Canis lupus familiaris: one gene and its partner. The protein of the gene in region 2 purifies or fractionates together with the protein of the main gene of each other region. This does not show direct contact. Links are inferred from orthologs where the notes say so. Each region holds a gene or a part of one and is shown on either strand. Other genes may lie near its edges.

Region 1 (4,338 bases), on a different chromosome or scaffold from region 2:
ATGGGGAGATAAGAGGTCATGCGGGGATTCTTTTTTTTTTTTTTTAATTTATTCATGACAGACAGAGAGAGAGAGAGAGAGAGAGAGAGAGAGAGAGAGAGAGAGGTAGAGACACAGGCAGAGGGAGAAGCAGGCTCCACGCTGGGACCCGGACATGGGACTCGATCTCAGGACCCCGGGGTCATGCCCTGGGCCACCTGGGCCTGCCCCCATTCAGGGATTCTTTTTTTTTTTTTTTAGATTTTATTTATTTATTAATGAGAGAGAGAGAGAGAATGAGGCAGAGTCACAGGCAGAGGGAGAAGCAGGCTCCATGCAGGGAGCCGACCGACCGCAGGATCGCGCCCCGGGGTCAAAGGCAGGCGCTACACCTCTGGGCCACCCAGGGATCCCCCCCGCCATGCAGGGATTCTTGAATGTCTTTGAGACTTTTCACATCACTTCCATCATCCTACAGTCACATTTCTGGACCTCCTCATGCTTGGAAATACTCCCAGGAGTTTTGCCACGATTCACTTGCAACAAATCCGGAGCTGGTCCTTAGGCAGCACGCTGCTAGCCTCCAGCCGCACGCAGGTCTACAAAAAGAAAAGAAAACCACAAAGATGAACCCAGGGCAGCCCAGACTCTCCTCTTTTCAGAGCGGGTTTTCGACAGGAGAGGCGGCCGGAGGGCGCGCGGGGCTTGGAACCTAGGTCATGCACTCACCCCTCCGCTCACTGCCTGACCTGAGCGTTTGCTTGCTGAGCCTCGACTTCCCCATGTGGCACCGTGGCCACCCTAGGAGCCGGGGTTGCTAAAGAAGAGCGGGCACACGCCCGCGGGGAGACGTGGTTCGGGACGCGCTGGTGTGGGGCGAGGGGGACAAAGGTCTCGCACGTGTCCTTCCCTTGGCACCTGGCGCGACACACGCTGCACGCGGCCGGCGAGGCACCGCGCGCGGTTTGCACTGCAGCCCGGCGTCTGGGCGTGCCTGGGAGGCGCCACCGGCAGCCTCCGGAGGGTCTCCACCTGCAGCAGCAGGAGGAGGGCGGGAAGGAGCCCGGGGCGGGCGGGGGGAGGGGGGGATGCACGGAGCCCAGCGCTGCGCTCGGGCTCCAGCTCGGGCTCCAGCTCGGGCTCCAGCTCGGGCTCCAGCTCGGGCGGGTCTTTGTTCGGGCGCCGATCTCCGGCTGGGGCTCCGCGAGCAGCTTCTCGGAGCCGCCGAGCCGTCCGGCAGCAGCTCCGGGTCCGCACGCCCCCCGCCGCGCCGCGCCCTCCAGCCGGAGCGGACGCGCAGACGAGCGCGCGCAGGCGGCGGCGGGCAACAGGGCGGGGAAGGCGGGGAAGCGGCGGACCGCGGGGCTGGAGGAGCGGCCCCCCCGGGAGGGCGCAACCCAGGCAGCGCCCGCGAGGCGGGGGGCGGGGAGACCCCGGCCGCCCGCTCCGGCCGCCCCCGGGCCCGCCCGCTGTCCCGAGGCGGCCCCCCCCCGCGCCAGCGTCTGCTTTGGTCTCGCCCTGCGGCTGGGCGGGGCCGCGCGACGCCATTCCCACAATGCTCCGGGGCGTGCCGCCGCCGTCGCTGCCGCCTGTGGAAGAAGATGGCGGAAGGCGGAGCGGCGGATCTGGACATCCAGCGCTCCGACATCGCGACGCTGCTCAAAACCTCGCTCCGGAAAGGGGACACCTGGTGAGGGAAGGCGGCCGCGGCGGCCGCGGCGGCGGGAGGGCGGCGGAGGCCCGGGCGGGGGCTGCGGGCCGCTGTCTGTCGCCAGTGACAGGTGCGGGCAGGTCCGGCGGCGGCCGCCCCGGGCGAGCGGGGTGTCGGCGGCCCCCGGACGCCGGGGGCGAGGATCGGAGCCGGGGGCGGGTAGGGGGGGCCGGGGCTCGCGGCCGGTCACGGCGCGCCCAGCGGCCTGGGGGGAGCGGCGGCGGCGCTGGTCCGCCGGGCCCCCGCGGCGCCGCTCCCACCTCGGGCCTGCCCGGACGCCGGCTCCCCGCGGCGGCCCGCGGTCGGGCGCTGACAGCTCGGCGGCCCGCGCCGCTGCTCCGCTCGCTTCCTCCCGCGGCGTCTGCCGGCGAGCGAGTTGCTGGCTGGCCCGACGCCGGCGTTCTTCCGGGAGGCGGGCTGCACAGGTGGGCCGGCCCCGGCACCTCCCGCGGCGCGGAGCCCCCAGCCCCAGCCCCCCGGCCGGAGGAGGCAGAGTCCGGGACCTCGGGCCGAGCAGAGGGGGAACCACGTGGTCCCGGGCTTCGGCGGGGGCTCGGTCGGGACCCGCCGCGCCTCTCGGAAGCGCAGCCCTTCCCTCCCGGGCGGGCGAGCCGCAGGCCTGCACGAAGTAGATAAGTCCGCTGGAGGCTCAGCGCGCTTGCTACCCTCGAGACCTAGGAAATAGCAGAGGATGCAAACGCCGGAGGTAGCACGCGTAGGGATTTAATACCGGTGGTGGTCGGCACTGCTTAAATACGGGAATACGTGACCTAAAGGGCAAGTGGTGTTTGTCAGGAAGAAGAGGAGGGATGTGCTTCTTCATATACAGTGACCGCTGTTTTCTTGTCTGCTTGTCACCGTAGCGGCGGTGTAGGATGCACGGGCCCCTCTACGACTTGGTGGAGGGAACGAACCTAAGACTGAGACCTGGTTAGGTCCCCGTTTCACCGCCTCACCTGGGGCAGGACTTGGAGGACAGGCAGTTTGAATCGCTGTGCCCCCCCCCCCCCCCGTCTTCATCCGTGAAGTGGGCAACGAAAATTCCGTGATAGGGGTGTACTCTCTCGATCTTGAGGAGGTATTCCAAGACATTATCTGTTTAGGAGAGGACGTTAAGTGTTAGTCGCTGTGTTGTCCCCGCCACTTACTTCCGATAAAATGCTGTAGTATTAGTGGATTTTGAAGTAAGTTAGCAGATGGCAGTCTTGGGACTTGACTTTTAAGTGTTTTTTGATCTAAGTCTTGGTACTTTTCTTCCTACTTTGTTGGGCTACATACATTCTGGGTTTATATGGTGAAAATCCCTAACGGTGTAAACATGCACTTGTTGCACTAGAACAGAAAATACGATCTCTAGATGATTTAATGATCATTACTGCGCATGTCAGTGTTTGTAAGATGTTTATTCCTGTGTGGAAGTTGGATATTTCCTAGGACACATAATTACCTTGGTCTTTGGATTATTAAAAGATAAATTAATCCTAGCTTCCCATTAGTTAACCTGTTCCCACCTCATAAAAAACATAAATGGGGATCTCTATCCTCTTAAAAATGGCTATGATTCAGATGGATATTACTTCTTTTTAATGTTATGTTTTTGGTACTCTGAGTAGTAGTTGGTGGTACTCTGAGTAGAGACACAGGCAGAGGGAGAAGCAGGCTCCATGCAGGGAGCCCGACGTGTGACTCGATCCCAAGACCCCGGAGTCACGCCCCGGGCTGAAGGAGGCGCTAAACCGTTGAGCTACCCAGGCTGCCCTGGAAATAGTCATAAAGAATAAATATAGGAAGTCGTAAATTTGAGTCTTTTAAATGCGTTCATTTTAAAGAAAGGGACATTGAAGACCACATATTTAGATAACAGCAGAATGTGGAATTTTGTTAAGATTTATTTATTTATTTGAGAAAGGGCTGGGGAGGGGCAGTGGGAGAGGGTGAAAGTCTTTTTTTTTTTTTTTTTTTTAATCAGGCTCCCGGCTAAGTGGGAAGCCTGATGAGCCTGATGTGGGGCTCAATCTCACGACCCTGAGAGATCCTGAGATCACGACCTGAGCTGAAACCAGGAGTCAGATGCTTAACCGACTGTGCCACTCAGGGTGCCCCAAAATGTGAACGTTTTTGTCCTCAAATTGATGATACCTCTTAGTTAAAGGGAAAAAATACCGGAGCAGGATGGTACTGAGGATTTGCAAAAACCAGTTTGGTTTAGGCCACTTAATTTGCAATTAGGTAAAATCTGTCAAAAAAGAAAATAGTTTAGAACAAAAGTTTGATTCAGAGTTTTAAGGAGAATAATTGGCTAAGTACAAATTTCATTATATATGCATGATTTCAGAACTGGTAAAGATTTAATAATTTGTTACTTGGGCTCATAGTTTTTGGAACTCACTACAACTTGTTTTTAACTTGTTAAAAAGTTGGGCAGCCCGGGTGGCTCAGCGGTTTAGTACCACCTTCCATCCAGGGCCTGATCCTGGAGTCCCGGGATCGAGTCCCATGTTGGGCTCCCTGCATGGAGCCTGCTTCTCCCTCTGCCTGTGTCTCTGCCTCTCTCTGTGTGTATCTCTCATGAATAAATAAATAAAATCTTAAAAAAAAGTTGTTTCTCTTTTTAATGCCTTTTTAAAAGATATTTGGATTAGCTGTTT
Region 2 (4,207 bases):
CCTGCATCAGGGTCCCCGCAGGGAGCCTGCTTCTGCTTCTGCCTGTGTCTCTGTTTCTCCCTCTGTGTCTCTCCAATAAATGAATTAAAAATCCTAAGACAAAACAAAACAAAACAAAAACAGGGCAAATAGGGGTGCCTGGGTGGCTCAGTCAGCAAAGCATCTACCTCCAGCTGAGGTCATGACCTCAGCCTCCTGGTATCCAGCCCCACATCCCCCTCAGTCTGCTCCTCTCTCTCCCTCTGCCTGTCACTCCCACCGCTCAGGCTTTCTCTCTCAAATAAATAAAATCTTTAAAAACAAAGAAAAGACAGGGCAAACAATAAGCAAATAGTTCAAGTTGCTTAAATATTGTTCTTGCTTAAAATCAGAAATATAAACGTGTATGGAGTTAAATGATTTGCCTCCTGCATTACCCCCTCTCTCCGTCTTCCTTTTATCTCTTTGCTAGGTAAATACCAAAACCTATTTCGTATTGGTTTTCACCCTGACTTCAACCCTTACCTAAACTTTCATCTGAAAATCAAGCTGGGGGCGCCTGGGTGGCTCAGTAGGTTAAGTGTCTTCCTTCCTTCAGCTCAGGTGGGGATCCCAGGGAGACCCAAATCTGCCTCTCTGCTCAGGAGGGAGCCGGCCTCTCCCTCTCCTCCCAGTTCATGCTCTATCTGCCAAATAAATAAAACCTTAAAATAAAAAATAAAAAAAAATGTAAAAAGGGAAAAGAAAAATCAACCTGAACGGTCTGACTCCAGGCACAAATTAATTGAATTCTTCTAGCCCTGGTTAAATGGTTAAGTAACATAAACCGGTGGGACAATATAAAGGCAGGCTGATGATCTGCCAAGTGTCCGCAGTGGTTATTAAGGGTTAATTCCCCAACAATTAAAAAAAAAAAAAAAAAATGATGGGATAAATCACCAGATCGGCTTCAACGACGTTCCCTAACGCTAAAGACCGGAAGTCAAGAAATTCTGCAGGAGCCTGGCTTGGAACAAAGGTGACCATTTTCTGGGTGGTTGGAAATATGAGTGAATTCCTTTTTTTTCTAGAATTTTTTTCCTCCGGTCTTCAAACGCGGTGGGGGTGGGGTGGGGGCTGCAAACTGGGAAGACCGAAAACGAGCAGCCGCTGCGGGTGCCGGTGCAGGGCCCACACCAGGAGGTCGACCTTTGTCAGTCTCCGCGGCCCCTCGAGCTTCCAAGTCCCGGGCAGCTCGCGGCGACTCGCCCGGGGCGGGGCCCGGCTTCCTCCGGCCTCCCGCCTCCTCAAGATGGCAGCAGGCGCGAAAACCCGGGGCGGCGCGCGCGGCACTCTGGGAGCGGAAGTGGGGAGGCCCCGCGGCGGCGGCCGGGCCGGAAGGGGCGGGGCCGGGCCTGGAGCGTCCGCGAGAGCCGCGGCGGCTGCCGGAGTGTGCGGGTCGCGAGGGCTGAGGCCTGGCGGGCGGGGTGCGTCGCGATGCCGGAGCTGGCGGTGCAGAAGGTGGTCGTTCACCCCCTGGTGCTGCTCAGTGTGGTGGATCACTTCAACCGGTGAGCGCGGGCGCGGGCGGCCTCCCGGGATCGCCGCTGCTGAGTCACGGGCAGGCTGGGCCGGGGTGGGCAGCGACTCGCCCGCGGCCGGGACCACTCACGGGTCGCGAAGCCTAAATCCCAGGCTCGTCCCGGCCCCGGCCCCGGCCCCGGCCGGCAGTCCGCAGCCCGCAGCCCGGACTGGCCGTGCCGTTTGCCCACGTCGGTGCGCCGCCGCTGTAGGGGCGCGGAGGGCGGGGCCGCGGGGGGCGCCTCCGTTTGGCCCCGGTGCCCCCGTCACCTCGTGGGCGCCTCCGTGCCGCTGGAGGCTGTCCCCGGCCTTCCGGCCTCGGCGCCCAGAACGGGCTCCCTTGGCAGGGCCGTGGCGTCTGAGCAGGACTCGCTCGCCTTTGATGGTGACCTGAAATCGACACTGGGTGCCAAGCCCCTTCTTTTAAAAATGAGAGCGTTAGTAGGTTTGGGCATTAATGAAGAAGCTGGAACGTCCCGCGAGGGTTTCTTGCGCCTTCCCTTCCCTTGTCTTGGAGCCGTTCTTCCCGCTGGACCTGTTACACGTGTTCATAACTTTTACAAGGTAATTGCTCCGATTGGCAAGTGTAAAGACCCGCTGGGGAGCGTCTGCTGTAAAGTCGGTCGTGAAGTGCCGGTTCCCCTGCAGCTTGCCTTGGACGACCCACTCACTGAACCAGAGCTAATAAAACCGGACTCCGTGGGGTTCGGGGTCCCCAGCTTTGTAGAGCCCTCAGCCTACGGGACAGGCGTGCGTTCCCACTGTCCCGCCGGCACTCCTTCCTCCCACAGGGTACTGGACGTGCCACTGGGACAGGCTCCCTCTCACTTCTATCCAGGGGACGGAGTGCAGACACCCGCTGCTAGCTGCGGTGTCGTAATAACACATGTCGGGTTTGTTTTGTTTTTTTTTTTTTAAGATTTTTTATTTATTTACTCATGAGAGAGAGAGAGAAAGAGGCAGAGACACAGGCAGAGGGAGAAGCAGGCCCCATCCCATGCAGGGAGGCCGATGTGGGACTTGATCCCAGGACTCCAGGATCACGCCCTGGGCCGAAGGCAGCACTAAAGTGCTGGGCCACCCTGGCTGCCCAGATGTAGGGATTGTTTTTGTTGTTGTTGTTGTTGTTGTTGTTGTTTAAACCCAGTCAGATTTTTGTAGACCAAAAGAAAAGCACGTGAGTGTGGAAGTTTCCTTTGAAGTGTGGAAATTCGGTGTATAAGATTTCCCCAAAAATCAGAACCACCAGGGATACAGAATCCTTCACTCTGACCCAAATCCCAAATTCAGTGAGCATTTATAGATTTCCCAGACCAGATGTTTAGGAAAACATTACAGTGAAACCAGTGACTGTTAAGGAACTCAGGTTCGTTTCACGGTGGCCTGTGTCTTTCGTTTGAACGTAGGGTTCTAGTGTGCTCTGTGTCTCACGTCCGCTAGTGCTTAGGGGAGAATTCTACATGACGGTCCATGAAATGAGATTGTGTAAGTGAAACACTTGGCAGCTCCTGAGGACAGAAGTCACTGAGGAGGTTTGACAAGTAGGTAGAAATTCCGAAGCAAACCCTTTCTCACTCCTCCAGCCATCCTGTCAGTGTGATCAGTCACCAGCTCACTTCTGATCCTGCCTGGTGAAGCCATTCGGAGACCACAGAGGGTACACGCCTACCTCGGCGTCAGAACCCACTTTCTGAGCCCCTAGATGGTTCAGAGAAGTAGGACTTGTGGTGGGGCTTGTCTGCGTGGAATAGATACCCCAGAGAACACCTGGCAAGCCAGCCCATGAACGTCGTCTGCTTTAGCATCTTTATCTCTGATGATATTTAAGGATACAGAAGATGGGGAAAGTTTGAAGGAGAAAAGTGCAAAAGAAAAAGTTAAAAGTGGCAGCATAACTTAAATATACTTTGCAAACACCAACCAAATAGCATTTTAAAACTCTTAAGCCCTGCGGGGGGGTGGGGGGTGTCCATTTTCTCCATTTTAAGGTTCTAGAAAGTTTGACATTTTTCCAAGCATGTGTTTCTTGGAGTCAACAGTGTAAATACTGCCGATGTACAAAGTTGGTGAGTTACCCATTGTATTTATTAGAATTTAATATTAAGGACTGACCTGACACTATTACATTGGTTTAGTGGGATTAGTTCCCAGGTAAGTGGAGTTGTATCTGTACCATTGATATTTCGTATTGAGTGTCTAATTGTTGGCTCCATGTCTCTGTGTGCCTATCAGACTGACTTTCTGCTTTCTCCTTCAGAATAGGCAAGGTTGGAAACCAGAAGCGCGTTGTCGGTGTGCTTTTGGGGTCATGGCAAAAGAAGGTACTCGACGTATCCAACAGTTTTGCAGGTACAAGACAAATCTTACATTGTTCTACACCTGGCTTAAAATGTCAATTATCTTTAAAATTAATAAAAGAGACTTTTGTGATTTCCATTTTTACTACAACCCAGAAATTCTCTGTCAGAATTGCTGAAGTATAGGAAGGAAGCTAAAAGTTACTCACTAAACTGAAGAGTAAATATTTTAAATTTGCAGGCCATATGGTCTCCATTACAAGTGCTCAGCCCTGTATTGTAGCAGCAAAACTACTATAGACAATGTGTTGACAAAAGGGTAACTGTATTCTAGCAAAAGTTTATAAAACCAGTCAGCTCTGATGTCGTTT

The links. The genes of interacting proteins can lie anywhere in the genome.
Region 1: the proteins of PSMD7 (region 2) and USP15 purify together in Homo sapiens (affinity purification with mass spectrometry; 3 studies listed by BioGRID, with this or other methods). This does not show direct contact. The link is inferred for Canis lupus familiaris from reciprocal best matches to the Homo sapiens genes PSMD7 and USP15.

Annotation. Positions count from the first base shown.
Region 1 is NC_049231.1:5,872,926-5,877,263, forward strand, and holds the start of USP15 (ubiquitin carboxyl-terminal hydrolase 15), read left to right. Parts: upstream 1-1,522; 5' UTR 1,523-1,580; coding exon 1,581-1,669; intron 1,670-4,338. UniProt on the Homo sapiens protein: Hydrolase that removes conjugated ubiquitin from target proteins and regulates various pathways such as the TGF-beta receptor signaling, NF-kappa-B and RNF41/NRDP1-PRKN pathways.
Region 2 is NC_049226.1:80,364,442-80,368,648, forward strand, and holds the start of PSMD7 (26S proteasome non-ATPase regulatory subunit 7), read left to right. Parts: upstream 1-1,351; 5' UTR 1,352-1,455; coding exon 1,456-1,529; intron 1,530-3,796; coding exon 3,797-3,888; intron 3,889-4,207.